Linked DNA regions of Anolis sagrei. The main gene of each other region encodes a partner of the protein of the gene in region 4 in a complex. Links are inferred from orthologs where the notes say so. Each region holds a gene or a part of one and is shown on either strand. Other genes may lie near its edges.

Evidence for each region.
Region 1: PIGQ (region 4) and PIGY share a complex: the UniProt entries of both Homo sapiens proteins name them as parts of the glycosylphosphatidylinositol-N-acetylglucosaminyltransferase (GPI-GnT) complex. The link is inferred for Anolis sagrei from reciprocal best matches to the Homo sapiens genes PIGQ and PIGY.
Region 2: PIGQ (region 4) and DPM2 share a complex: the UniProt entries of both Homo sapiens proteins name them as parts of the glycosylphosphatidylinositol-N-acetylglucosaminyltransferase (GPI-GnT) complex. The link is inferred for Anolis sagrei from reciprocal best matches to the Homo sapiens genes PIGQ and DPM2.
Region 3: PIGQ (region 4) and PIGP share a complex: the UniProt entries of both Homo sapiens proteins name them as parts of the glycosylphosphatidylinositol-N-acetylglucosaminyltransferase (GPI-GnT) complex. The link is inferred for Anolis sagrei from reciprocal best matches to the Homo sapiens genes PIGQ and PIGP.

What each region holds. Positions count from the first base shown.
Region 1 is NC_090025.1:20,335,932-20,341,156, forward strand, and holds PIGY (phosphatidylinositol N-acetylglucosaminyltransferase subunit Y), read right to left. Parts: upstream 1,366-5,225; coding exon 1,150-1,365; 3' UTR 509-1,149; downstream 1-508. Other genes in the region: PYURF (protein preY, mitochondrial), read right to left, coding at 1,406-1,547, 3,148-3,338. UniProt on the Homo sapiens protein: Part of the glycosylphosphatidylinositol-N-acetylglucosaminyltransferase (GPI-GnT) complex that catalyzes the transfer of N-acetylglucosamine from UDP-N-acetylglucosamine to phosphatidylinositol and participates in the first step of GPI biosynthesis.
Region 2 is NC_090031.1:2,448,829-2,456,168, reverse strand, and holds the start of DPM2 (dolichol phosphate-mannose biosynthesis regulatory protein), read left to right. Parts: upstream 1-4,333; 5' UTR 4,334-4,351; coding exon 4,352-4,369; intron 4,370-6,975; coding exon 6,976-7,065; intron 7,066-7,340. UniProt on the Homo sapiens protein: Regulates the biosynthesis of dolichol phosphate-mannose. Regulatory subunit of the dolichol-phosphate mannose (DPM) synthase complex; essential for the ER localization and stable expression of DPM1.
Region 3 is NC_090023.1:71,911,280-71,919,303, forward strand, and holds the start of PIGP (phosphatidylinositol N-acetylglucosaminyltransferase subunit P), read right to left. Parts: upstream 3,001-8,024; 5' UTR 2,863-3,000; intron 1-2,862. UniProt on the Homo sapiens protein: Part of the glycosylphosphatidylinositol-N-acetylglucosaminyltransferase (GPI-GnT) complex that catalyzes the transfer of N-acetylglucosamine from UDP-N-acetylglucosamine to phosphatidylinositol and participates in the first step of GPI biosynthesis.
Region 4 is NC_090034.1:27,568,310-27,576,128, forward strand, and holds the start of PIGQ (phosphatidylinositol N-acetylglucosaminyltransferase subunit Q), read left to right. Parts: upstream 1-4,808; 5' UTR 4,809-4,884; intron 4,885-4,890; exon of another isoform or gene 4,891-4,969; intron 4,970-7,819. Other genes in the region: NHLRC4 (NHL-repeat-containing protein 4), read left to right, coding at 412-861. UniProt on the Homo sapiens protein: Part of the glycosylphosphatidylinositol-N-acetylglucosaminyltransferase (GPI-GnT) complex that catalyzes the transfer of N-acetylglucosamine from UDP-N-acetylglucosamine to phosphatidylinositol and participates in the first step of GPI biosynthesis.

The DNA.
Region 1 (5,225 bases), on a different chromosome or scaffold from region 4:
TCCCTAGAGTCAGACACAATTAGACTTAATGTCAGGGGAAACCTTTACCTTACTAGTAACATGGTCTAGTACTTTGATCATTGGACTAGCACTGAAGAAAAGAGTTTGATTCCCTGGGCCGCCATGGAAACTCACAGGGTGACCTTGTCATTTTCTTAGCCTCATAGGAAGTTTAATACAAAGAGGGTCTGTGATCAAAATCTGTCAAAAAATCCCTTAAGAACTGCCATAAACTGGAGGGAGGCACTCATCAGCAGAACAAATGTGTATTGCCATTTTTAAAAACAACCTCTGGGCTGACTCTAATGCTGGATATTATTTAGTGGAACTACAAGGGCAAAACCCATTCTCGCTGCAACCCTCACCCCTATAAATCCAGTTCTGAATGCCTGGAAAACCCCTCTGGAGCCAGATTAGTATGGCACAAAAATTGTAGGTAAGGGGATTATCCCCTTTAAGGTGAAAATCCAAATAAAGCATTGAGCAAAAAAATAATAACATATCTACCTGGTTTTTCAGTTGCTTTATTAGTGGGAAATAATTGCTTTCGGTTTCCTTATAATTCTGTTTTGATCACAATCTGTTAATATCACTCATTCAAGCATAAAAGCTATGGGTAGAAAACAGTGCAATTTAATGAAAGCAAAATCCTGAGTACTATTATCACCATGTCCAACAATGTTAAAAGACATCCTGGAAACACAATAGCGCCATGACAGAAAATCCATTTAGGGTGTCATCAAGTATTATTCTGCACTAAATGCCATTCTTCCAAGGAACTGTGAAAACGGCTTGAAAGCATCTGGCAACACTTTAAAATTCTACCATGGTATATTTCTGCACAGGGTTGACTATACAGGTCCAAAGATGGAAATGTAGTCACTTTCTTGTGGGCAAAGCAGATAGCTCGTGAAATTACAGTGTGTTTCATCCACCTTATCTGTATGATCCATCATCATTCCTATGGATTTGGTTTGGAACTAGGTTTGCTAGAGTTGGAAGGGTAAAAGCAAGTTTTCTATTCGCTTGTGTGGATGATTATTTCAATATGTTTAGTCCACTACTTGTTTGGGAAGACTTCTGATCCTATTGCAGACAGATAAAAAGAAAGCACATATTTTAGTCCATGTCCACCCATTTCAGCCTAACCTAGTTGTGGCGAAAGAGTTTAAGGCCCATCCAGGTCCAGAGGTGGAAGAACACATAAACTGGGATGGTAACTGGAAGCAGCAGGCTGTAGAAACACAGGCTGGTTGTACTTGTGCAACCCTGAGGGAAGTTTTCATCAACGCTGGCCGAATAAAACAGTCCAGCTAAAGACAACACCGGGATGAGTACAGTCATCGTAGGCAGAGACAGAAACATTTTTCTTCACCTGTGGATTTCTTATAAGAAGAAAAAACGTCTAGGTCCGCTCAGGTTCCCCTTCCTGCTTGTCTTTGCCAATCATCCTGGCAGCCTGGGGGATCATATTAGGAATGCCGTCAGTGATGGGGTAGGCAATGCCCAGCTCTTCGTTGATTAATTCATTGGTGGACTCCTCATACCTAGGAAACATAACAAATATTGATATGTCAAGCCAGCTATTGCCATTTCTTTAAGAATATGGTACTGGGACAAAGAAGTATGCAAACCAGTCTTTCAGTAAGATGTAATATGCTAGTGGCAATAATAATAATAATAATAATAATAATAATAATAATAATAATAATGTGTCAGGCATCCTTATAACACCCCACTAGGTACAGTTAGACCAGGCACGGGCAAACTTTAGACCTCCAGGTGCTTTGGACTTCAACTGCCACAATTCCTAACAGCCGGCAGGGTTTGTAGTTTCACTAGATCTTTCACTTTCTCTGTCCAAGAATGCAGGTGTCTCATTAAACTACAACTCCCAGTATTTGCATAACATTGAGCCCCCGGTGGCGCAGTGGGTTAATGAAATATAACATAATACTACTAATATGATATTATAATTATATATTTTATATTACATGTAATATTACTAATAATACAATTTAATAATAATAATAATAATAATAATAATAATAATAAAAGCTTTATTTATACCCCACCACCATCTCCCCAAGGGACTCAGAGCGGCTTACATGAGGCCAAGCCCAACAGGACACCAGTAAACAAAAGGTATGGTATAAGTACACTTATACCATACCGTATTGTACTTAATGGTATAAGTACAATATAGTAATATACAATACTGATATTGTACTATGCTAATAATATATATTGTATGTATGTGTGCGTGTGTGTGCGTGTATCTTGTAAGCTGCTCTGAGTCCCTTTCAGGGTGAGGACGGCATATAAATGTCATAAATAAATAAATAAATAAATAAAATCAAACTCCAAAATCCAAACAGTAAATAAAGAACAATAATAAACAACACTAAAAAAATTGGGGAATTCCAGACAGAAACCATCAGGGTCAACTAATCACCTCCCAACAAAGAATCCCCCCCAGGCAGGAAGCATCCTGACCTTGAAGCTGCAAGGCCATTCAATGCTAATCAAGGTGACCAATTGCAACATTCACACTTTCCTCAAGCAGACCAGAGTTCTTTTTCCACCCTTGGACATTATTCCACAGATAAACCCCACTTACCTAGTTTCCCACAAAGGATTCCCCCGCTCCCAGGCAGGAAGCAGCCAGACCTTGAAGCTGCAAGGCCAATCAGTGCTAATCAAGGTGGCCAAATTGCAACATTCACACTTTCCTCAAGCAGAGAAGAGTTCTTTTTCCGCCCTTGGACATTATTCCACAGATATATAAACCCCACTTGCCTAGTTTCCAACAAAGCTCACCGCTATAGATGTAGGCGAAATGTCAGGAGAGAATGCTTCTGGAACATGGCCATACAGCCCAGAAGCTTCACAGCAACCCAATGAAATGCCATTTTAAAAAGATACAAAAAAAAACTTGCAAGATCCACCTGCACTGTAGACTTTAATGCAGTTTGATACCTCTAACTGTCAATGGGATTCTGGGAGGAGTAGTTCCACAAGGTCTGCAGCCTTCTGTGCTAAAGAGGGCAGGCGCCCAACCAAACTACAAACAAGCAGGATTCCATAGCATTGAACCATTGAAACTACACCGATACAGCCTCTAATGGGAGCCCATTGGCTTCTCACCTGAGCGGCTTCTTGGACAAGGGGCAGACGAGGACCTGGAGGAGGCTGGCCTCGAAGGGCGGCTTCTGCTTCTCTCCCTCGGGGCCTTCGCCTCCGTTCCCGGCCGCCGTGGAGAAGAGAGCCCGAGAGCCTTTCCTCCAGAGCGGAACGCAAGCGGAGAGGCGCAGGAAACCCAGAGGCAGCATCGGCATGATTCCACGGTTGCACGCCTTCACTGCCAGCGCCAGCTCCAAGGTCAGCTGGGAAAGGAAGTCAGCTTCACCAGACTGCTTCCTCCGAATGAGTGTGCTGTCGAAAGCAGTCCCTTGGAAAGCGAGAGCCAATGTTCTAGGTTCCTACAAAGAACTAAAGATTGGGTTTAGTTGGGCTGGCTGGCCATGTTCCATCTCTGAGGTTGTGAAATCTGTTGGGAAACTAGGCCAGTGAGGTTCATATATCCGTGGAATAATGTCCAGGGTGGGAGAAAGAACTCTGGCCTGCTTGAGGCAATTGGCCAGCTTGATTAGCATTGAATGGCCTTGCAGCTGCAAGGTCTGGCTGCTTCCTGCCTGGGAGGGAATCCTTTGCTGGGAGGTGATTAGCTGGCCCTGATTGTTTCTTGTCTGCAATTCCCACGTTTTTGAGGGTTCCTTATTTATTCTTTTGATTTTAGAGTTTGATTTTATAATAGTAATAATAATATGTAGCTTCAAGGTCTGGCTGATTCCTGTCTGGGGGGAAATCCTTTGCTGGGAGGGGATTAGCTGGCCCTGATTGTTTCTTGTCTGGAATTCCCCCGTTTTTGAGGGTTGTTCCTTATTTATTGTTTTGATTTTAGAGTCTGATTTTATAATAATAATAATAATAATAATAATAATAATAATAATATCCAGGGTGGGAGAAAGAACTCTAGTCTGATGGAGGGAAGTATCAATGTTGCAATTGGCCAGCTTGATTAGCATTGAATGGCCTTGCAGCTGCAAGGTCTGGTAGCTTCCTGCCTGGGGGAAAATCTTTTGCTGGGAGGTGGTTAGCTGGCCCTGGTTGTTTCTTGTCTGGAATTCCCTCGTTTTTGAGGGTTATTCCTTATTTATTGTTTTGATTTTAGAGTTTGTTTTTATAATAATAATAATAATATCCAGGGTGGGAGAAAAAACTCTGGTCTGCTTGAGGGAAGGGTCAATGTTGCAATTGGCCAGCTTGATTAGCATTGAATGGCCTTGCAGCTTCAAGGTCTGGCTGCTTCCTGCCTTGGGGGGAATCCTTTGCTGGGAGGTGATTAGTTGGCCCTGATTGTTTATTGTCTGGAATTCCCCCGTTTTTGAGGGTTGTTCCTTATTTATTTATTTATTTATTTATTTTAGAGTTTGATTTTATAATAATAATAATATCCAGGGTGGGAGAAAGAACTCTAGTCTGATAGAGGGAAGTATCAATGTTGCAATTGGCCAGCTTGATTAGCATTGAATGGCCTTGCAGCTGCAAGGTCTGGCAGCTTCCTCCCTGGGGGGAAATCCTTTGCTGAGAGGTGATTAGTTGGCCCTGATTGTTTCTTGTCTGGAATTCCCCCGTTTTTGAGGGTTGTTCCTTATTTATTGTTTTGATTTTAGAGTTTGAATTTATAATAATAATAATAATAATATCCAGGGTGGGAGAAAGAACTCTGGTCTGCTTGAGGCAAGTGTCAATGTTGCAATTGGCTAGCTTGATTAGCATTGAATGGCCTTGCAGCTTCAAGGTCTGGCTGCTTCCTGCCTGGGGAGGGAGTCCTTTGCTGGGGGGTGATTAGCTGGCCTTGATTGTTTCTTGTCTGGAATTCCCCCGTTTTTGAGTGTGTTGCTTATTTATTCTTTTGATTTTAGAGTTTGATTTTATAATAATATATTTTTGTTGTGTCAGGAGCAACTTATTTATTTATTTATTTAGCAATTTTGTATACCAGACTTCTCCCCTCTGTCGAGGGACTCGGGCCGGTTTCCAACAATAAAATCACAAAACAATAATTAAAAACGTCATATATCATATTCAATTAAAACGTTAGAACTGCAATTCGCTTCTGGTGTGAGAGAATTGGCCGTCTGCAAGAACGTTGCCCAGGG
Region 2 (7,340 bases), on a different chromosome or scaffold from region 4:
TTAAAAGGAAGTCTAGAGGTCGCATTTAGTTCGGCTGCTCAGTTTTTGATTATTGTTATTTTTCCTTCGAATGGTTTGTGAGGTTCCTCTGGTGTTTCTGTTTTTCTAATGCAGACGCGGGCCAATTCTGGCCCTCCCGGTGTTTGGGACTACAACTCCCATAATTCCTAGCAGCCGGTTACAGCCTCAGGCCTCTTCTTTTTCCCCCTCAGCCGCTTAAGCGGCTGAGGGGGAAAAAGAAGAGGCCTGAGGCTGTGACCGGCTGCTGGGAATTATGGGAGTTGTAGTCCAAAACACCAGGAGGCCGGAATAGGCCCGTTCCTGTTTTAACGGAATGCTGTGCCGTCTTTGACTCGACCGATGATCCGTGTTTGTACTCTGTTCTCCGGTTCCTTCCTTATTGTAGAGAAGCCACACATATAAAGAGGAAATTCACTATATAATGTCAAATGTCATTACCGTTTTTTGCGGGGGAGAAAAACAAATAAAGGTGGTTTTTCTTTTTCTTTTTGGTACATCACACCTGGCCTGGTTTGTTTCCTTACCGTTTCGTTTCATGTGTACGCAATGGGACCAATGCCTGCCTATTTTCTCCCTTTTCCATCTCTCTTACTTTCCTTCTTCCCTCTGTTTCTCTCTTTGTCTTCCTTTCCTTCCTTCCTTCCTTCCTTTCTTCCTTCCTTCTCTTGCTTTCCCTCATGCACCTTTCCTCCTTTTCTTTCCTTCATTTTCTTTCCTCCCCCTCTTTTTTTAGCCCTTCTTTCCTTCCATCCCCATATGCTTTCCTTTCGTTCTTTTTTCTTCCTCGCTTTTTCCTTTTTCTATCTTTCTTTTTCCTTCTTTCCCCATTTCACTCTTTTTTCTTCCTCCTCATGTTTTCCTTTTTCCACCTTTCTTTCCTTCCTTCATTTCACACTTCCTTTTTTTTCTTTCTTCCTTCCTCTCTTTCTTTCCTTGCCTTTCATTCCTTCATTACTTTCCCTCCCTCCCATCCTTACTCCGTTTCTCCCTTTGTCTTCCTTTCCTTCCTTCCTTCCTTCCCTTGCTTTCCCTCATGCACCTTTCCTCCTATTCTTCCCTTCTTTTTCTTTCCTCCCTCTCTTTTTTTAGCCCTTCTTTCCTTCCGTCTTCATATGCTTTCCTTTCCTTCTTTTTTCTTCCTCCTCACTTTTTCCTTTTTCCATCTTTCTCTCTCCTTCTTTACCCCATTTCACTCTTTCTTTTTCTTTCTTCCTCCCTCTCCTCCTTTCCTTGCCTTCCCTCCCTTTCTTCTTTCCTTTCCCTCCCTTCTTTCCTTCCTTCCGCCTCTTGCTTCCGTCATGCACCTTTCCTTCTTTTCTTTCCTTGTTCTTTCTCTCCTCCCTCTCTTCCTTTATCCCTTCTTTCCTCTCTTTTTCTTTCTTTCCATCTTCATATGCTTTCCTTTCCTTCTTTTTTCTTCCTCCTCACTTTTTCCATTTTTCTCTTTCCTTCTTTCCTCCATTTCACTCTTTCTTTTTTTCTTTCTTCCTCCCTCTCTTGCTTTTCTTGCCTTCCCTTCCTTCCTTCTTTCCTTTCCCTCCCTAACATCTGCAATTCAGAGAGGACACATACAAAGTAGAAGAATAAGACATTTCACGCTTCCTTCAGGCCACTTCACCCAGTGACAGCCAACCCAGCAATATCGCAGAGGGCCACCTCACATGTGACAGCCAACCCACAAACATCACTGAGGGCAACCTCACCCAGCATCGCTACTGAGGGCCAGTTCACCCAGCGACAGCTAACTAGCTGTCGTCATGGGAGGCCACTTCATCCAGCGACAGCCAATCCAGTGACACTGTGGAGGGCCACCCAACCCAGTGACATCGTGAAGGGCCACTTCACCCAGTGACAGCCAACCCAGTAACGTCATGGGGGACCACTTCATCCAGTGACAGCCAATCCAGTGACACGGTGGAGGGCCACTTCACCCAGTGACACTGTGGAGGGCCACCCAACCCAGTGACATCGTGAAGGGCCACTTCACCCAGTGACAGCTGTTGTGGAACAGACAGAGAAACTCTTGGACTTTACTAGGGAAAGTTAGGGATGAAAAACAAGGTTAAAATAAAATAAATAAACAAGATGGGAAGTTCTCTAGGAATTGCAAACGAGGAGTTGTTAACGGGCCTGCCATCAAATAACCTTCTGCCTTTTTTTTCTTGCATTTTCTGGGTGCTAAATGCAAAAGGAAAAAAGAACCATGTGCTCCCAAGTTATTTCACCCATGACATTTCAATTCAATTCAAGAGAGATATTGACAAGCTGGAATGTGTCCAGAGGAGGGCGACTCAAATGATCAAGGGTCTGGAGAACAAGCCCTATGAGGAGCAGCTTAAGGAGCTGGGCATGTTTAGCCTGAAGAAGAGAAGGCTGAGAGGAGATATGATGAAGGCCATGTATAAATAGGTGAGAGGAAGCCACAGGGAGGAGGGAGCAAATCAAGGGTCTGGAGAACAAGTCCTATGAGGAGCGGCTTAAGGAGCTGGGCATGTTTAGCCTGAAGAAGAGAAGGCTGAGGGGATATGATGAGGGCCATGTATAAATAGGTGAGAGGAAGCCACAGGGAGGAGGGAGCAAATCAAGGGTCTGGAGAACAAGCCCTATGAGGAGCGGCTTAAGGAGCTGGGCATGTTTAGCCTGAAGAAGAGAAGGCTGAGAGGAGATATGATGAGGGCCATGTATAAATAGGTGAGAGGAAGCCACAGGGAGGAGGGAGCAAATCAAGGGTCTGGAGAACAAGTCCTATGAGGAGCGGCTTAAGGAGCTGGGCATGTTTAGCCTGAAGAAGAGAAGGCTGAGGGGATATGATGAGGGCCATGTATAAATAGGTGAGAGGAAGCCACAGGGAGGAGGGAGCAAATCAAGGGTCTGGAGAACAAGCCCTATGAGGAGCGGCTTAAGGAGCTGGGCATGTTTAGCCTGAAGAAGAGAAGGATGAGAGGAGATATGATGAGGGCCATGTATAAATAGGTGAGAGGAAGCCACAGGGAGGAGGGAGCAAATCAAGGGTCTGGAGAACAAGCCCTATGAGGAGCGGCTTAAGGAGCTGGGCATGTTTAGCCTGAAGAAGAGAAGGATGAGAGGAGATATGATGAGGGCCATGTATAAATAGGTGAGAGGAAGCCACAGGGAGGAGGGAGCAAATCAAGGGTCTGGAGAACAAGCCCTATGAGGAGCGGCTTAAGGAGCTGGGCATGTTTAGCCTGAAGAAGAGAAGGATGAGAGGAGATATGATGAGGGCCATGTATAAATAGGTGAGAGGAAGCCACAGGGAGGAGGGAGCAAATCAAGGGTCTGGAGAACAAGCCCTATGAGGAGCGGCTTAAGGAGCTGGGCATGTTTAGCCTGAAGAAGAGAAGGATGAGAGGAGATATGATGAGGGCCATGTATAATAAATATGTGAGAGGAAGCCACAGGGAGGAGGAGGGAGCAAGCTTCCTTTCTGCTTCCTTGGAGACTAGGACGCAATGGAACAATGGCTTCAAACTACAAGAGAGGAGATTCCATCTGAACATGAGGAAGAACTTCCTGACTGTGAGAGCCGTTCAGCAGTGGAACTCTCTGCCCCGGAGGGAGTGTGGTGGAGGCTCCTTCTTTGGAAGCTTTGAAACAGAGGCTGGATGGCCATCTGTCAGGGGTGATTTGAATGCAATTCCTGCTTCTTGGCAGAATGGGGTTGGACTGGAGGATGGCCCAGGAGGTCTCTTCCAACTCAAGGATTCGATGAGGCTGGATGGCCATCTGTCAGGGGTGCTTTGAATGCGATATTCCTGCTTCTTGGCAGAATGGGGGTGGACTGGATGATTGCCCAGGAGGGCTCTTCCAACTCTAGGATTCTATGACATGAGTCAGTCCAACCTTGCATGGCTTCCAGCCACAGTCTGCAACATGAAAGGTACATAATGGAGCAAACCGAGTCTCCTTCCAGGATTTGGAAGGACAGTTCCCTCTCAAGCCCATCCATACACGGTTTCCAAATGAGCCTCAGCTTTGCAGGCCTGCGAATGACTCTTCTCTTTCATGAGTCTAGGGTCACAAGGCGCGCATCTCCTCTTTTAAGGAGTCTATGACCCGAGCCTGGACTCTGTGCGCGTGCGCGGAAGCCTCCGAAGGAGACGGAAGTCTGCTGTGCGCATGCGCGGGAGGCCTGCCACGGAGAGGCTAGAAACCCATTCTTAGCCGCTGCTGTGCGCATGCGCGGCGGTTAAAGCACCCACCTCTATGGCTCTGCGACCGCTCTTTCTCCTTCCGCCTCTATGGCACCGGAAGGAAGTCTTCCCAAGCAGGAAATAGAACTTCACAATGGTGAGTCTGGGAATAAAAGCCAATGGGAGAGGTTGCTTTGGTTAGGATTATACATTTAGATTTCCAAAAGATAACCAATATGTATATATTATTATATGTGTGTATAGAATAAAATAATATATATATATGCATATAATTTTAGTGCATATATAATCTATATTCTTTAAATACGTATATATTATTTTATATAATATATATATATGTACATAATTTTAGTCTATACATATTATTGATATATATGTCTGTATAGAATAAAAGATATACATATAAGGGATATCTATATATAGATAGATAGATAGATATACATTACAATTATATGCATATATATTATTATATGTGTGTATAGAATAAAATATATATGCATATAATTTTAGTGTATATATAATCTAAATTCTTTATATACGTATATATTATTTTATTCTACAGACATATATCAATGATATATATATGTATATAATTTTAGTCTGTATATATTATTGATATATATATATATGTATGTATGGAATAAAATATATATGTATATAAAGAATATATATATACATTAAAATTATACACATATATATTATATGTGTATAGAATAAAATAATATATATATGCATGTCATTTTAGGGTATATATAATCTATATTCTTTATATACGTATATGTTATTTTATTCTACAGACACATATATCAATAATATATATATATATATATGTATGTATATAATTTTAGTCTATATATATTATTGATATATATGTATGTATAGAATAAAATATATACGTAGATATAGATATAGATATACATTAAATGATATGCATATATATTATATGTGTGTATAGAATAAAATAATATATATGCATGTAATGTCAGGGTATATATAATCTATATTCTTTATATACATATATGTTATTTTATTCTACAGACACATATATCAATAATATATATATATGTATATAATTTTAGTCGAGATATATTATTGATATATATATATGTATGTATAGAATAATATATATATAAAGAATATAGATTATATATACACTAAAATGATATGCATATATATTATATATGTGTTTGTAGAATATAATGTATATGTATGTATAGAATATAGATTATATAGATATAGACTAAAATGATATGCATATATATTATGATGTATGTATGTGTGTAGAATAAAGTAATAAATATGTATATATAGAATTTTGATTATATATAGAGAGACTAATATTAAATACATAAATGTTATGATATATATGTGTTCATAGAATAAAATAATAGATTATATATAGAGACTAAAATTATACACACACACAATAACATGTTTCAAAACATTAATTCAAAAATATCTTTTTTTTAATTACATTCCCTGTGATTCAAAATGAAGAAATACAGGCACTAAAATAAAATTGAAACAGAAATAGGATGTTTTGGAAGAGAGAACATATTCCATGCATATTAAGAGGCTTCCCCATTCGCTGCCATTTTATATATATATATATATATATATATATATATATATAAGTATGTGTGTAATAAAGACAGTCACTTTATTTCTGTACCCAGCCTCCATCTCCCCGAAGGGACTTGGGGCGTCTTTCATATGATGCAAAGTGCCTAAAACCACGCATAAAATAGACACAGAGGACAAGACACGAGAGCAAAACTATAGCATATATAAAACAACATTTTAAAACTCAGAACACAACGCCCGATGATCTGTGGTGACAACTGCTGTAAGACATGGCCACACTAAACAAGATGATTTGTATTGACAGCTTGACTAAAATGAGCACATTATAAAATGTATTTATTTACTTAAAACATTGATATTCCACCCTTCTCACCCCGAAGCGGACTTAGGGTGGAGCACAACATATACACGGCAAACACAGATTCACATACAAAACATAAATATAAAAAAAAAATGATCAAAATATTAAAATACACCATTTAAAACTGTCCTAGTCATCAGCGTCAAATCTAATTGGCCCGGTCATCTTTCCTATTGCCACTTTATTGCCCTGTCCCGAAAGCTTGGTCCCACAGCCAAGTTTTGACCATCCTTCTAAAGGACAGGAGGGAGGGGGCTGACCTGGTCTCACCAGGAAGGGAGTTCCATAGCCGGGGAGCCATCACCAAGAAGGCCTTGTCTCTCGTCCCCACCAATCGCGCCTGTGACAATGGCGGGATGGAAAGCAGGGCCTCCCCGGAGGATCTTAATCTCCGCAATGGTTCACAGGGCTCCTTCCTTCCTTCTCATCTCCTTTCTTTCCCTTCATTCTTCCCTTCATATACATGTCTCCTTGTAGCAGGCAGGACACTTCACCTAGCAACAGCCGGTCCTTCACTGAGGCACAGCAAATCCGCTTTGGCCCTTTTCTTCCTTTATAGCTGGACCATGAAGGGACAAAGTGCCAAAATTGGTCCAAATCCACCAAACCACGGAGAAGCCTTGGTGGTAGAAACCGGCATACATACATACATTGTATACACACACATGGATAGATAGATATACAGATAGACAGACAGATAGATAGATAGATAGATAGATAGATAGACACACATGGATGGATGGATGGATAGATAGATAGATAGATAGATAGACAGATAGACAGATAGACAGACAGATAGACAAGGGGTCAGCATTGATTCTCCTTTTTCCCTTTCAGGCCACTGCAACTGACCAGTTGGTTGGCTATGGCTTGGTTGCCTTCAGCCTTCTCCTCTTCGCTTATTATACCGTCTGGATCATCGTACTGGTATGGACTGGCTTGCTTTTTTTATTTTGATCCCATATTAAAGGAATAAATAAAGGCAGAATACATTGATCCCTCCCATGTGAATATTCAGAACCCCTCCAATTCTCATAATAATAATAATAATAATAATAATAATAGTAATATTAATATTAATATAATATATAATTATATATATTAATATATTTTATATATATTATGTCATATATATTCAGGACGTCTTCAATTCTCATATTATATATAGGAGCCCCCGGTGGCACAGTGGGTTAAACCCCTGT
Region 3 (8,024 bases), on a different chromosome or scaffold from region 4:
TATAATTTAATACAAAAGTTAGAATAATCCAGACCATAGTATTTCTAATTTCTGTATATGAAATTAGACCTCAACGGCGGAGCAGGCGGAGGATAACATGGCACATGTTACAACGGCTGCGAAGGCGGAAGAAGGCTGCAACAGACTGAGAAGCCATGGTCATTGTGTTAAACTACATCACCAGTGGAACCTCATCTGTGAAGACTGTGTGTTGTTCAGTTGTGCACTGACCTCCACACATTAAAAAACCCACGCACAGGCGTCTTCCAAAGAAAATAAAAACAAACCAACCAAAGTCCCATGGCGATCAGCGAGTGGCGACGGGGGCAGGACTGTGAAATCTGGAAGCCCCTAGTCACAGACTGGCACATGGGCGGTGGGTACGGACTCAGTCGTTCTACCTCAAGGTCCGAGGCAGTTGAGTAGTTCGGCAGCTGTATCCGCGACTGAGCAGCCCTATTGAGGACCCACTCTGCTCACCCCACACGGGGAGGGGGCTAGAAAAGGTGCCCTAAACATAGTCTGCCTCACTTATCCCTGACTGGACTGCCGCGTCCAGTGGGGTCACCATCCTGCGGCCAAAAAAGAAAAATGAACTTCGGTACGTGGAACGTACGGACACTGATGGACAACAGTGACAGTGAACGCCCCGAACGCAGAACTGCCATCATCGCAAGGGAGCTGGGACGCTTCAACATCGACATAGCAGCCCTTCAGGAGACCCGGAGAGCAGGAGAGGGACAGCTGAAGGAAGAAAAAGGAGGCTATACCTTCTTCTGGAAGGGACTGCCTGAAGAAGACCAAAGAATGCACGGAGTTGGCTTCGCTATAAGAAATGATCTGATGAAACATCTGTCCGAAGCACCCACTGGCATCAACGAACGACTCTCCACCCTCCGAATTGATCTTGCCAAAAACCAACGGGCAACCATCATAAGTGCCTATGCACCAACACTAGACGCTGATGAAGACATCAAGGAGAAATTCTACTATCAGCTGGACACTGTCCTATCGGGGATACCTAAGGAGGACAAAATCATTCTCCTGGGGGACTTCAATGCAAGAGTCGGGCGAGACTTCGACCTGTGGCCAGGCACCATAGGAAAAGACGGGGTTGGAAACAGCAACTCGAATGGCATGACAGGTGCTGACGACTGCTGGACCGACCACAGGCTAATCCGATCCACGATGGCTATCAAGATCGCCCCCAAGCGCAGACTCCAAGGAAGAAAGACAAGGCGCAAAATGAACACCCAAGCCCTTCAAGAGCCCTCCAGGCGAGCCCATCTCCAAACTGCACTCAAGGACCATCTACCCACAGTACACCCCGAAAATGTTGAGGAACATTGGAACAAACTGAAGACCTCCATCATCCAAGCCTGCGAAGAAACTATTGGATACCAAGCCAAGAAACATCAAGACTGGTTTGACGAAAATGACATCGAGATCCAACAGCTAATCGACAAGAAAAGGAAAGCCTTCCAAACATGGCAGAGAGACATCAACTGTGCTGCTAAGAAAAAGATCTACGCCAGTGCAAAAGCTGAGGTCCAAAGAAGGACAAGAGAACTCAAGAACATCTGGTGGACAAAGAAGGCTGAAGAAATCCAACACCTGGCAGATACCCATAATGCTCAAGGATTTTTCAAAGCCACAAAGGTCATCTATGGGCCAAGAAACCATGGCATACAGCCTCTACGCTCATCAGACGGAACCAAACTCCTGAAGGACCAAAAGTCAATTGCACTACGTTGGAAAGAACACTACCAAAGCCTCCTAAACCGCAGCTCCAGTGTGGCCGAAGAGGTCCTCTCACAAATCCCGCAACAACAAACCAGGGATGAGCTTGCAGCACTGCCTAGTTTGGAAGAAGTCAGCAATGCCATCAGCCAACAAAAAAACAACAAAGCCAGCGGACCGGATGGGATCCCTGCTGAAATCTTTAAAGAGGGAGGACCTGCGCTGACACACCAACTCCACCAGCTCATAGAAAAAGTGTGGGTGACCGAGAAAATCCCAGCAGACTTCAAGGATGCCACCATCATCACCCTCTTCAAAAAAGGGGAAAGAACAGACTGCGGAAACTATCGAGGTATCTCCCTTCTAACCTCTGCTGGAAAAATCCTCGCAAGAATCCTTGCAAACCGCCTTCTGCCCCTCTCAGAAGACACCCTCCCAGAATCCCAGAACGGCTTCCGCCCCTCCAGAGGAACTGTGGACATGATCTTCACTGCACGACAGCTCCAAGAAAAATGCAGGGAACAAAACCAACCTCTGTACATGGCATTCATCGACCTTGCAAAGGCATTCGACACAGTGAATCGCAGCGCTCTCTGGACCATCCTCCAAAAAATCGGGTGCCCAAGCAAATTTGTGAACATCCTGCGGCTCCTCCACGATGACATGATGGCAACAGTCTTAGATAGCAATGGCTCCCAAAGTGACCCATTTAAGGTGGAATCGGGTGTCAAACAGGGATGTGTTATTGCCCCAACTTTATTCTCCATCTTCATCGCCATGATACTACACCTTGTTGATGGGAAGCTTCCCACCGGAGTGGAAATCATCTATCGGACAGACGGCAAGCTATTTAACCTCAGCAGACTGAAAGCCAAAACCAAGGTCACAACAACATCTGTTATAGAACTCCAGTATGCTGATGACAATGTCGTCTGTGCGCATACAGAAGAAGATCTACAAGCCACTCTCAACACCTTTGCAGAAGCATACACAAAGCTTGGCCTGTCACTGAACATCGAGAAAACCAAAGTGCTGTTCCAGCAGTCACCAGCCGCCTCCTCTCCAATGCCAGAGATACAGCTTAATGGTGTAACATTAGAAAATGTCGACCATTTCCGCTACCTTGGCAGCCACCTCTCCACCAAAGTCAACATCGACGCCGAAATACAACACCGCCTGAGCTCTGCAAGTGCAGCATTTTCCCGTATGAAGCAGAGAGTGTTTGAGGACCGGGACATCCGTAGGGATACTAAGGTGCTTGTCTATAAAGCTATTGTCCTCCCAACCCTGCTCTATGCCTGTGAGACGTGGACTGTCTACAGACGTCACATGCAGCTCCTGGAACGATTCCATCAGCGCTGCCTCCGGAAAATCCTGCAAATCTCCTGGGAAGACAAGCGGACAAACGTCAGCGTGCTGGAGGAAGCAAAGACCACCAGCATTGAAGCAATGGTCCTCCAACATCAACTCCGCTGGACAGGCCACGTTGTCCGGATGCCTGACCACCGTCTCCCAAAGCAGTTGCTCTACTCCGAACTCAAGAACGGAAAACGGAATGTTGGTGGACAGGAAAAGAGATTTAAAGATGGGCTCAAAGCCAACCTTAAAAACTCTGGCATAGACACTGAGAACTGGGAGGCCCTGGCCCTTGAGCGCTCCAGCTGGAGGTCAGCTGTGACCAGCAGTGCTGCAGAATTCGAGGAGGCACGAGTGGAGGGTGAAAGAGAGAAACGTGCCAGGAGGAAGGCGCGTCAAGCCAACCCCGACCGGGACCGCCTTCCACCTGGAAACCAATGCCCTCACTGCGGAAGAAGATGCAGAGCAAGAATAGGGCTCCACAGCCACATGCGGACCCACAGGGAAACCCATGATGGAAGACCATCTTACTCGTCCAACGAGGGATCGCCTAAGTAAGTAATATGATTGTGAAAGCTAGACAACAAAGAAAGCAGACAGGAAAACAACTAATTTGAACTGAGGTTCTGGAGAAAAGTTGTACAGACGAATATTTGCTTCACTAGGAGCAAGGATAACTAAACAGGCTGTAGTAATTTGGTCATATCATGAGACAACATGGCATTGGTAAAGTGGAAAAGTGGATACAAGTGGATTGATTCAATCTAGAAAACCACAGCCCTAAATTTGTAAAATCTGAGCAGAGCAACTGATGACTGGAGACCTTGGAAATCTCTCTCATAGGATCACCATAACTCTTAAGATAACAGTTAAAGACAATGAAACAAAACTAATTTACAGCATGGTTAAGTCTCTAGTCCTTGTAGAAGCCAAGATACGCAGCAAAACAGAAATGTTCTGTCAATTTGTTCTGCAGGAAACAAGTCCGCTTAGGTGAGAAAAACAAGAGTAAGAGATGTTAGCGGTGCTGCACAAAAAAAAGCAGAGGTCACACCTTTGGACATGAGGCAAGATGAGGGAGTAGAGAGTTAAGAGAGCATGTAGCGGTGCATGAGAAACAAGCAAGAGGCATACCACAAAGGAATAAGGCTAAGCAAGTAGAAGTGATGGAAGGGTGAGTGGTTGTAGTGTCACCGTACAAAAAAGGAGGGGTGCGTTAAAATAAAGAGAGGTGGGATTGGAAAGGAAAGTGACAGATGGAGGGAAAGAAGGGTGAGAGGTATAGTAGCAGGATCTGAAGAGTAGAAGAAAGAAATGGTGGTCTATGTACCGGAGAAGGAGAATGTCAAAAGGTCAGTAAAGGGGAGAAGAGAATATTATTAAAAAATCATTCTGGTATACAATATTTTATCTAAAATAGATAAATCAGTCATAATTTGTTCACTTGATTATTCAATAATAATGTTGTCTATACAGCAGGATTTTCAGACATCAACAGTGGAATGTTAGATATAACATTAAAAAAAACAGTTGATAAGGTTTTGTGCAAATAAATCTGGAAAGGTGAGCAAATGAAAAGAAATAACCATTGATTGTGACTGATCATTCTATTTACAACTTAAAAATTGTATTCACACTTGTCCCCTATAGCTATGTTTAAGCGTATATAAATGGCCCTGTAATCCAAGGTATGTGGCTGAGCAGTTATTTACAGTCCTTGTCTTCTGATTGGCTGGATTTGGGGACTGAGGTAATAGCAACCACATCTTTTTAGAGTACTTCATGATAGACAAAAATAAAACAAAACAACTTGAACCCACAAATAACATTCCAACTCATTTTATTAACCAAATATGGCAAAGCGAAGGTAAGCTATCACCAGGAAAAGACACATTGATACTTGCAAATGTTAATTGGAATGTTGGATTTAAAACACTGAAGAACACTGATTCAATCTATTCTTGATTGAATTAGTTGCAGGAGTATTCTCTTGCCAAATGTGACTGTAAATATCAAGGATATTTCAGAAAATGGTATGATAGTGTTGCTTTCTTGTCTCTTCAGAAAATTGTATAGTAAAGAACCTATCTATATTTAACAAAAACAAAAGTGTTGCAATTTTTACAAATGATATCCATAATAATTTTAAGTATTTATGGTGAAGTTTGATATGGAAAACACTAAGAAATTAAAATTTGACTCTGAGACTTTAATACAGCAAATAAGGTGCTAGCAGAGTCGCAAGGTGTCTCTTTAATAGTTGTACAGAATAGGGAATTTTTAGCACTTGGTTAAATTCTCTCTTCTACAAAGCCAAAGTATGAGAGCCTTTATTTTGATTGGCAACTCTGGTAGAATTAATTTTTTTCCAGTTGAACAGGTATATGTTTTGTTTGTGATTCCCAATGATGTTACTACTTAGGCAAGTGTATGTGTTACTGCTTGTACTTCCAGATGTAAAACTGGTTCTGCCTTGGCTGGAAATGGCTAGGTTTCCCCCATCATGCATATTCTGAAACTAGATGTACACGAATACAGCTTCATTTGCAAAAGAGGAATTGCATACATACTGGTCCATGCACCGATCATGAAATCTGATGTGTTTCCCTTACCTTTTGATTTCCCCCTCCTTTCTCTTAATTTGGTTAAGCTTTTTTCGGTTAGGTAGGTCATATTGTTTCATTCCTCATTCCTGAATTTATTTGGGTTGTGCTCCCATGATAAGAATGATTTACAGGATAAGGTGGGGTTTGAATGATTAAAGAAATGAATGAATGAATGAATGAATGAGGAAATAAAATATAGAAAATATTATACGTGGTCACAAAAGCTTTGTACTTATAGACAGATAACCATGTTCACAATATTAATTTGAAATTCAACTCTAAAAGGGAAAAAAGAGTCTGGTGTATTACAGCCCATTAGATTAAACCAGAGGTCTATGAAGTCCAGCAAGAACATATTGTTGAATTAAACAAGAGATCTATGAACCTACAGCATTCTGTTTCTGTCTGTAGCCAACTAAATACTTCCAACAAACGTAGCAAGGTATCATTGAGGAACATCCTTCAGACTTTGCCATTCCAGCTGGTGAATTTGGGAGCAAGAAGCACAATGCTGGGGATACTGGGATCTTGTAGTACAGATGTACAATGTATGGACATTTTAAGGAAATTAGGAACATTTTTTTTCTCCATTTTAAAGAGAAATGTCCAGACAAATTGGGGGAAAATGATGCTATCAAATATCCTAAAGACACAAGATACTGTATAATCTTTGAAGCTCAGCAGGGCATCCATTTTTCGTATTGTATAGGAGATCGCCAATGAATACCAGGTGACATAGGCTGTGCCTCAGAAAAAGAAACTGGCAAACCACCTCTGTGTATTCCCTGCCTAAAGAAAGCCCAATGAAATTAATTGAGTCATTATCAGTTGATAGCCAGCTTGAAGACACATACATATGCACTATTATTTATGACTAAAATTATTTTGTTACTTTAAGAACATAAACTATATTGTATGCATAATGTGCTACAATTATAGTTTTTAAAATATAAATTACAATACTGTACTTATTCTATTAAAATCAAATAATACAGTTACACACTGATTTATCTTTTTATAACATATTTTGTTATAACATAACACAAATGTAGCAAACTATCAACATTAGTAAAACAAAGAAAACTATTTTGTCTCCATAATGTCAAGAAGACATAAAGTGTTCAGTCCCATAAAAGAACTGAAAAAAGACAGGAAGACCAGAATTTGTAATGATCAGACACATCTTTTCTAGCAGATAACTTCTCTTCTTTGCATTTCCTTCACAATGAATTGATATTTTAATGAAGGTTTAATTTACCACAACTCTGGGATCTCTTTCTTAGCTTGTTACTATTAGTTCAGATTCAATACAGATGCTGCATATGTGAAATAAGGTTTACTTCCAGTGTGAATCACTATGCAAATATCACCTAATGTATTACTTCATTGCACAATTAGTTTGTTCAAACTATTTTTAATATTAAATGTTTTTAATTAATTTTAATAATTTCAAAAATAAAAGAAATTCTTTTCCTAAAGCCTAGCTAGAAAAAAGGAGGGACTTCACATAACAGTAAAATATTAGCTTGCCCATCCATATGTTATTTTATGCATAGTCAAGTGCTAACCACCCAAGTGTCTGTATTTCTTTGTTAGGCAATATTGATCTCTCTCTTTATTACACTGGAGTTTGTAAGTCCTTATTTAGCAAATTATTTCTAGAATTTTGTTGCAATGATAATGACAGGGCTGAGAAAGGTGGTATACAAATCCAGCAAATAAATAAAGTGTATTAACTAGGACCAAACTTTTTCCATCACAGGAACTGAAACAGAAGCTTGAGCTGAAATTTGAGTTGGATTCAGAGCAGAAGTGCAATCTGCAAGGCTTCATGCTCCATATATAGCTTCTGTTCATAGGTATTGTTCCATTCTGTACCTCAACAGGATCTGTGATCTACCTGCAAACAATCTTGGGTGTCTTATCCAATTTTGTTTTCAGGATTTAAGATAACAACAACACATTAAACTTTATTTACACCCCACCCCATTCCCCTGTGGGGACTCAGGACAGCTTACAACATAAAAAGGCAAATATTTAACGCCACCCAATACAATGAATTAAGCAATACAAATGAATAACATAAAACAATTCTATACTATACTCGCTCATTCAAATGCTGGCTCTTTTAACAGATAGCCACAGAGGTCTGTTTTCATAATTAGAAAAGTTATAGAACTTTTGACTAAACACAATCTCTTTGTAATATTGTAAAGTTAAGGAAAAGCATGTCATTAAATCAAACTTTTCATGACTTGTTTTCATTGACAAGTGGTCTTTTATCAAATTTATCCAATATCATGCTTATCAGACACATTTTAA
Region 4 (7,819 bases):
GTTCAGCGGATGCCAAACCCCAATGGCAACCATTACGGAGCCGTATGTGGAATTCACTGCTCCCTTGATGGGGTTCTCTATGTGACGAGTGAAAATGCCCCCAGGGTCCACACCCTCAACCGCCTGGGCCACACATTTCGGTCCCTGCCCTGTATAGAATGGAAAAAGAAGGGCACCTTTTTGCCTGAGGATGTGACCCTCACCAGGGCAGGGTTGGTGGCCGTGACAGACATGGTGAACGGAACCATCCGCATCTTCAACAATCACTCTAAGTTCTCCAAGGGCGAATGGCTAAGCATTGGAAAGTTTTCTGCCCCCAGGGGGATTGGAGTTGATGGGTCCGGAAAGATACTGGTGGCCGACTACACAGAAGGCCAAGTGCACTGTTTCGCCTTAGACCGCGCTTTCAAGATGCAGGGTGTCCGCTCCATCTCCAACCTTCAAGGGCCACGTTACGTGTGCCCGGCCCCCGAAGGAGGATTTGCGGTGAGCGAAGAGTGCGGGGACGTCAAGGTGTTCAGTAACACTAACAAACCGCTCTCTTCCATCAGCAGCAAGTATCACCACCACTTTGGCAACCCCGCTGGGATCTGTTCCGATAGTGAAGGCAACATTCTTGTGGCGGATGAACAACACCAGAAAGTGTACTTGTTTCCCAGTAGCGGATCCCCAATCTGCCTGGTATCAAAAGGTCTACAGAGACCAGCAGGAATTGCTTGTTCCACACAGGGTTTGCTTTTTGTTGCTGACAGTGGGGATAATTCCATCAAAGTCTTCAAATACCGCGTACGGCCCTATTACAGTGCTGACGTTACACCCAGTGACAGTCCGAATGTAACTCCTAGAAGGAGGGCAAAGTAGGATTTTTCCATGCTCCCACATTACATTTATGACTCTGCCTCACGAGCTGAATAGGTACATCTACACTGCATAATCAATGCAGTTTGACACTTTAATTATGGAATCACAGGAGTTGTGGTTTATAAGGTCTCACAAGATCTTTAGCCTTCTCTGCCAAAGAATGTTGGTGCCTCACCAAACTACAGACCCCAGAATCTTATAGCATTGAGACCTGCCACTTCATCAAATTCATTAAATGCTACAGAGCCACCCACTTAAGAAAAGGCAACCTACTGGGCTCATCACATGATGTAGGCTCTAGCAAGTGTAGGGTAGAGAGATCTTAGTGTTTAAAAGGGGTTGCAAAGGGTTATCTTTTCAGACGCTTTCTAAGCTGTTTGGCAAATGACTTTTTTGCAAATTATCCAGCTAGAGGTGGGCAAAATGGCCAATTCTGTCATGTGATTTAAAATGATACAGTTGAGCAATTTGTGGGATGAGCCGAAATGCTCTTTTGAGAAAAAACTCTACGATTACCTTTTGCTCACGGAGGAGGAAAGATTGGCAGTTTGCTGTGTTCCTTTCTGTCTCTTGCACTTTCTGGTGGCTTGCCTGCTTGCTTGCTTGCCTTCCTTCCTTCCATGTGTTGTGTGTGCCATGTGTTACCTCCTCCTCCCCTTCCTTCCTTCCTTCCTTCCTTCCTTCCTTCTTTTCTTCTATGTATTGTGTGTGCCATGTGTTACCTCCTCTTCCTCTCCTTCTTGCCCTGCTTTTTTCCTTCTTCCAATATGAGGAAAGTGTGTGTGTGAGAGTGAGTGAGAGAGAGAGTGAAAGAAACTGAAAGAAACTGAGAGAGAGAAAGAGAGAGAGAAGGATCATTGAGAAACTAGAGCAAAATGTGCCAAAGCAGGATGCTGTCCCTCCTGCAAAGACAAAAATTTTGCAATTTAATAAACTTTTCCCATGTGTTCATGATATAACCAATTAGGAAATGACATTGATAACCCATGAACCAAAAATATAGCCCAGGAGAGGAGGTATTTCTTTTCACAAAGAAAATGGGAGCGGGACAGTGGACAGGAACAATACCCTGCAATGTGATGGCAAATCCACTGAGAACTCCTGATTAAAATGGAGAGTTTGCTAGTGTGTGATGGAGGTAGGGAAATCATCCATTTAATTTCAAAACAGAGTATGCCTGAGCCGTATGGTAAACCTACTCTTCCAAACACTTGACATGTTCAGTGGAATGAAGTCTATGGTCATTAAAGTGGTGTTAAACTGCATTAATTGTATAGTGTAGATGCAGCTGGTATGTGCACTTCTCCAATTATGCATCAAACTGCTCTGGAGATGAAACTGATCTTACAACAGCACGTTAATTTTTTTGTGCCATGATTCCTTTTAAGTAAACAGAAAAGACGCAACAGGATACAGTAACGGCATGGAAAGAAACATTCAAAATGACACCAAAAAAAAGGGAGAGTCCTCAGGCCAGAAACAGCACTGGATAAACCATTTAGCCTGCTTGAGTCCAAATATATGGAGCAAAGAAGGCCGGCTCCTGAACGTTTCCTTATTTTACAACAGTTTGTGTTATGTTTTGCTCTTTGTTGTAGAAAACGATGATTTGTGTGTTTCTCCATCTCATCAGGCATGTTTGTCTTAACTGCGTATCCCTTATCCAAAAAGCTTGGGACCAAACATTTTTTGGATCTTGGATTATTTTTCTCTCTCCAGATTTTGGAATACTTGTATCTGCATACAACAGTCAGTCTTTAAGCATGATTTTTAAATGTGTGTGCTTTGTTAATCTCTATTTTGTGAATTTTGATATCTATTTTATAGAAATACTTTTTGATATGTAGCTTTTATAGGAATACGTTTTAATATGTGCATCTGTAGTGTTTTTGCAATGTTTATGTGTTTTAATTATTCTGTAACCCACCTCGAGCCTTGAGAAGGGGCGGGTAAAAAATAAAATAATAATTATTATTATCATTATTAAATGCACGCATAACAAGATACCTTGGAGATGGGCTTCATATATGTTTCATATTCACGTTATACACATAGCCTGAGATGATTTTATACACAATATTTTTTACTAACTTTGTGCAGTAAACAAAAGGTTGGTCCATTAGAAAGCAAGGTTGCCACCATCTCAGCTGTCTATCTGAACAATTTTGGATTTCCAAAGAAGGGATGCACAAGCTGTAATTCTAAATCATAAGTCTTCGGGGGGGGGGGGGTTAGAATGTAGAAGTTTATATATGTAATATGGTTCATTTCTTTGGCATGCCCCTCGCCTCTGGAACTCCCTCCTGAAGGAGATCAGAACAGTGCCACTCAGGCATATGGTGATGCGAATGTTAAAAGATCTGGCACTATGAAATAGGGAATGGAATTTAGACATGGCTTTTAACTTTGTCTTATTAACATCCTGTAATTTACTATTATTGTTTTCATGTGATCTATTTTATTGTCGAATGCGACGTTTCGTTTATTTTAAATTGTTTTCGCCTATTGTTGTATTTTACGGCATTGAACGTTTGTCTTTTATGTTGTGAACTGCCCTGAGTCCCCATGGGGAGATAGGGCGGGAAAGAAATAAAGTTTTACTTACTTACTTACTATAGAATGCAGTTTCATAACTTTGTTTAACTGCATTGTACGGAGCTATATGGTTACAAATAAGATTAGAAGGAAGGAAGGCATGGTTGCCATCTACAGCACTATCAATGTCCAGCAAAACTGTGCGAAAGCAAAGGTGAAGATTGCTTCGTACCGCCAGAGGCTTATCACACAAAAGCAGGCATTATATTGGAAGGGAAATGTGTGTCCCACCTATGTCTGCTGTAAAAAGATCTGAATTTTGCATATATCCCTCCCTAGTTTTGCTGGAAGAATACTCTTGTAACTGTCAAAAACAGCAGACCATTTCTCTGCTATTTGAAGGATTGCTCTCTTACATTTGCTGTTCTGGAATATTTAGGCTTCGTCAGGTTAGTATGCAAGAAAAGAAGAAAGAATCTCTTGATACTCTACTATCTATCTATTTAGTTCTAGTTGAAATTGCTTGAATTTTGCTATTAAATGACAGAGAGAGATTGTGGTTTTTAACATTGCACATATTTTAATGCTTTTTAACTGTGAATTCTTTCACAGTTAAATCCTGCTTTAATGTTTGCATATATTTGTGTAATTAAAATCATATGCTAATGATTTAATTTTAAGTCTCCTTTGGGAAGAGATAAAGCAGAGTATAAATAAATATCATACAATAATAATAATATTTTAATGTCTATGCTGATGCTTTTATGTCAAGCAGCTTTGAGTCTCCTTTGGGAGAGATAAAGCGGGGTATAAATATAATAATAATAATAATACATAATAATAATAATACATAATATTACTAAATTGAATGCTAATGCTTTTATGTCAAGCCATTTTGAGTCTCTTTTGGGAGAGATAAAGTGGGGTATAAATAAATATAATAATAATAATATTACATAATATTATTAAATTGAATGCTAATGCTTTTATGTCAAGCCATTTTGAGTCTCCTTTGGGAGAGATAAAGCGGGGTATAAATAAATATAATAATAATAATAATAATAATAATAAATTGAATGCTAATGCTTTTATGTCAAGCCGCTTTGAGTCTCCTTCGGGATATTTATCTATTTATTTATCATGTCAGAAACAAATTGAGAATACAGCTATAATGTATAGGGGAAAAAACCCCAAAACTCCTCAAACATCGTTAAAAACTTGGCATTATGGTGGATGCAACCCAAGGCGCTGCTTTCCTAATAGCAGGGCTCTCCTACCTGACTTCCCTCCTTCCCTCCAACCACTGGGCGCCTTTCTGTGGGCCAGGTTGAGGAGGAACTCCATTGGCCGGAACCTTTCCTTTGGGAGCGAGGGAGCCGCCCGGATGATAATCCGAGCCGGACCGCGTCTCCTAGCAACCGCCCCCCTCGCCGCCGGAAGTGGCTCCAATGTCAAGCGGCGCGCGGCCTTTGCTGCCTCCTGGTGAAAGTAAGTCATGCTTTGAACCGGCCCCTTCCACACTGCCGTATGACCCGGAATATCCAGGCAGATCATCCACATGATCTGCTTTAAGGTACCTTAGACCAGGCATGGGCCAACTTGGGTCCTCCCTCCAGGTGTTGGGGACTACAACTCCCACAATTCCTAACAGCCGGTAGACTCAGGGCCCTTCCACACTGCTGTGTAACCCGGAATATCAAGGCAGAAAACCACAATATCTGCTTTGAACTGGGTTATCTGAGGCCCCTTCCACACAGCGGTATAAAATCCCACAGTGGGCCCCTCCACACAGCCCTATATCCCAGAATATCAAGACAGAAAACCCCACAATATCTGCTTTGAACTGCGCTATTTGAGTCCACACTCAACTAATGTGGGATTTTCTGCCTTGATATTCTGGAATATAGAGCTGTGTGGAAGGGCCCAATATCTGCTTTGAACTGGGTTATATGGCAGTGTGGACTCAGAGAACATAGTTCAAAGCAGATATTATGGAATTATCTATCTTGATATTCTAGTTTATATGGTGGTGTGGAAGGGCCCTGAGTCCATTTCAGTGTGGACTTTATGCAGCTGTGTGGAAGTGACTACAGATAATAATCCAGTTCAAAACTGATCACGTGGATTATTTGCTCTGCTAATCTGGATCATATAGCAGTGTAGAAGGGCTGTATGTCAGTTGAGGTCCCGGCATTTTCAACCCAAGACACTTCCACACTGCCATAGAACCCAGAATATCCAGGCAGATCATCCACAATAACTGCTTTGGACTGGATTGTCCGGGTCCACACTGCCAAATATCCCAGTTCAAAGCAGATAATGTGGGATTTTATACAGCTGTGTGGAAGGGGCCTCAGGGCCCTTCCAGTTAGGCCCTATATCCCAGGATCCGATCCCAGGTTTTCTGTTTATCCCAGATTATCTGGCAGTGCAGACTCAGGGCCCTTCCACACTACTATATAACCCAGAATATCAAGGCAGATCATCCACATTCTCTGCTTTATACTGGGTTATCTGAGTGCCCTTCCACACAACCATATAACTCAATATTAAGGCAGCAAATCCCACAATGTCTGCTTTGTACTAGGTTATCTGAGTCCACACTACCATATATTCCAGTTCAAAGCAGAAAATGGGGGATTTTATTCAGATGTGTGGAAGGGCCTTCAGCCCCCTTCTACACTGCCATATAATCCAGTTCAAAGCAGATCATCTAGGTTTTATATGACAGTGTAGAAGGGTCCTAAGAAACTACCTGACAGCTTTACAAATAGAGTATAAAACAGGCCTGGGCCAACTTCAGCTCTCCAAAGGCCATCCAGTCTGACCATCATTCAGGTCAGACTGCCCTGTCTTCCTCCTCATCCACGGAGAGGGGAATGCAGTGCAATTTAGATGTCAGAGTATGCGGCTGGCTCTTTCCATTCCGCAGCCACATGACTCACGCATCGCATTCTGCAAGGGATCAGGATCGCGGAGAAACATGTCCTGGCTGTGACGCACGCACACGCTCCATTTATTCATTCTAAAGGTCTCTCCCACAGAGGCTAGGTCATTGTGACACATCCGTGATTAGCAATGGTCCCTAAGGATGAGCATTGAGCCAAGGATTCTTGCCCTCCACGTTACTGCTTTTTAACTTTTATGGATTCAATTCCAGGCAGTTCCCGAGCTACAAGTACCCGATTTACAAACGGCTCCTAGTTAAGAACAGGGCTGGACTGGATGGCCTCTGGGGGTCCCTTCCAAATATTTATCTCAGATATATAGATATAGGCTGTTCCCAAGTTACAAACACCCGATTACAAATGGCTCCTGCATAAGAATGGGGCAAAACCACAGGAAATGAAAAAAATCTTCCCCTTCAAAAGGAAAGGAAATCCTCTCCTGGAAGAGTTGTTATCAGGGGGAAAGGGGGTCTGGTCTCTAATTTTCTCCGGTCCTTTTTTCCACAACCAGCCAAATTCTTCACAATCCAGTTTTCCCAGGGATGGAAAATGAGGTGAAATCTTCTGAGCAGTGGCACAGACAGCAAAGGAAACACCATAGGAGTGTTAACCCTTCCCTATGCTATCTATATATTTATCTGGAATTATACTTTAAAAATGTCCTTGTTCAAACTTACATACAAATTCAACGTAAGAACAAACCTACAGAACCTGTGTTGTCTGTAACTTGTGGACTGCCTGTATATGGAGGTGCCCACTTGAACAAAAAAATGCAGAAACCTGCTTTTACTACTTTTCCATGAGACTGTGTTTCAAAAACAACAAAGATTTGTGCACATTAAAGACTGGTTATTTTTGTAAGGACATATGCTTGTATGCACTGATTATGTGGGCTGTAGACATGAACATTTATGTTGGTGTGCTTTGTAGCTGAGGGAATGTTGGAACTTGGTTCTTTCCAGGCAGACATGCCATTTGGATTTGTCTTGGGTTCTGCTTTGAGAAACAAGGCACCGCAATTTTTCCAGTAACTAAATGATTGCTTTGCATGTGTTTCCTATAACTAGATGTTCAGAGGGTTTTTAAAAACTTTTCTGCTATAAAGCAAGCTAGAAAAGCCTTTCCTCTGTATCTGGTCAGTATCCCTTCCCTCAGGAACAAATTTTAGGCATAGTTAATTGGCTAAAAATTGTCCAGTCGCATCCCATCAGTGCAAATTGAAAAATAGTTTAATCCAGTGTTGAAAAGGATGGTCATTTTGGGGCCAGATAGGTGGCCCTGGGGAGAACATTTCGTAATTGTGTGAGAAGGGCACAATGAAAAATCCTCCTTTAGAAAGCTTTGTGGCGTGGCTTGTCCTACTTTTGACAGGAAAAAACCAGAGGCAATGACATGTAATGAGTAAATGTGACTAGGTTTCCACTTCTTTTCTTGTTTCTTCATGGTAATGTTAAAAGAGATTTACTGATGTCTCC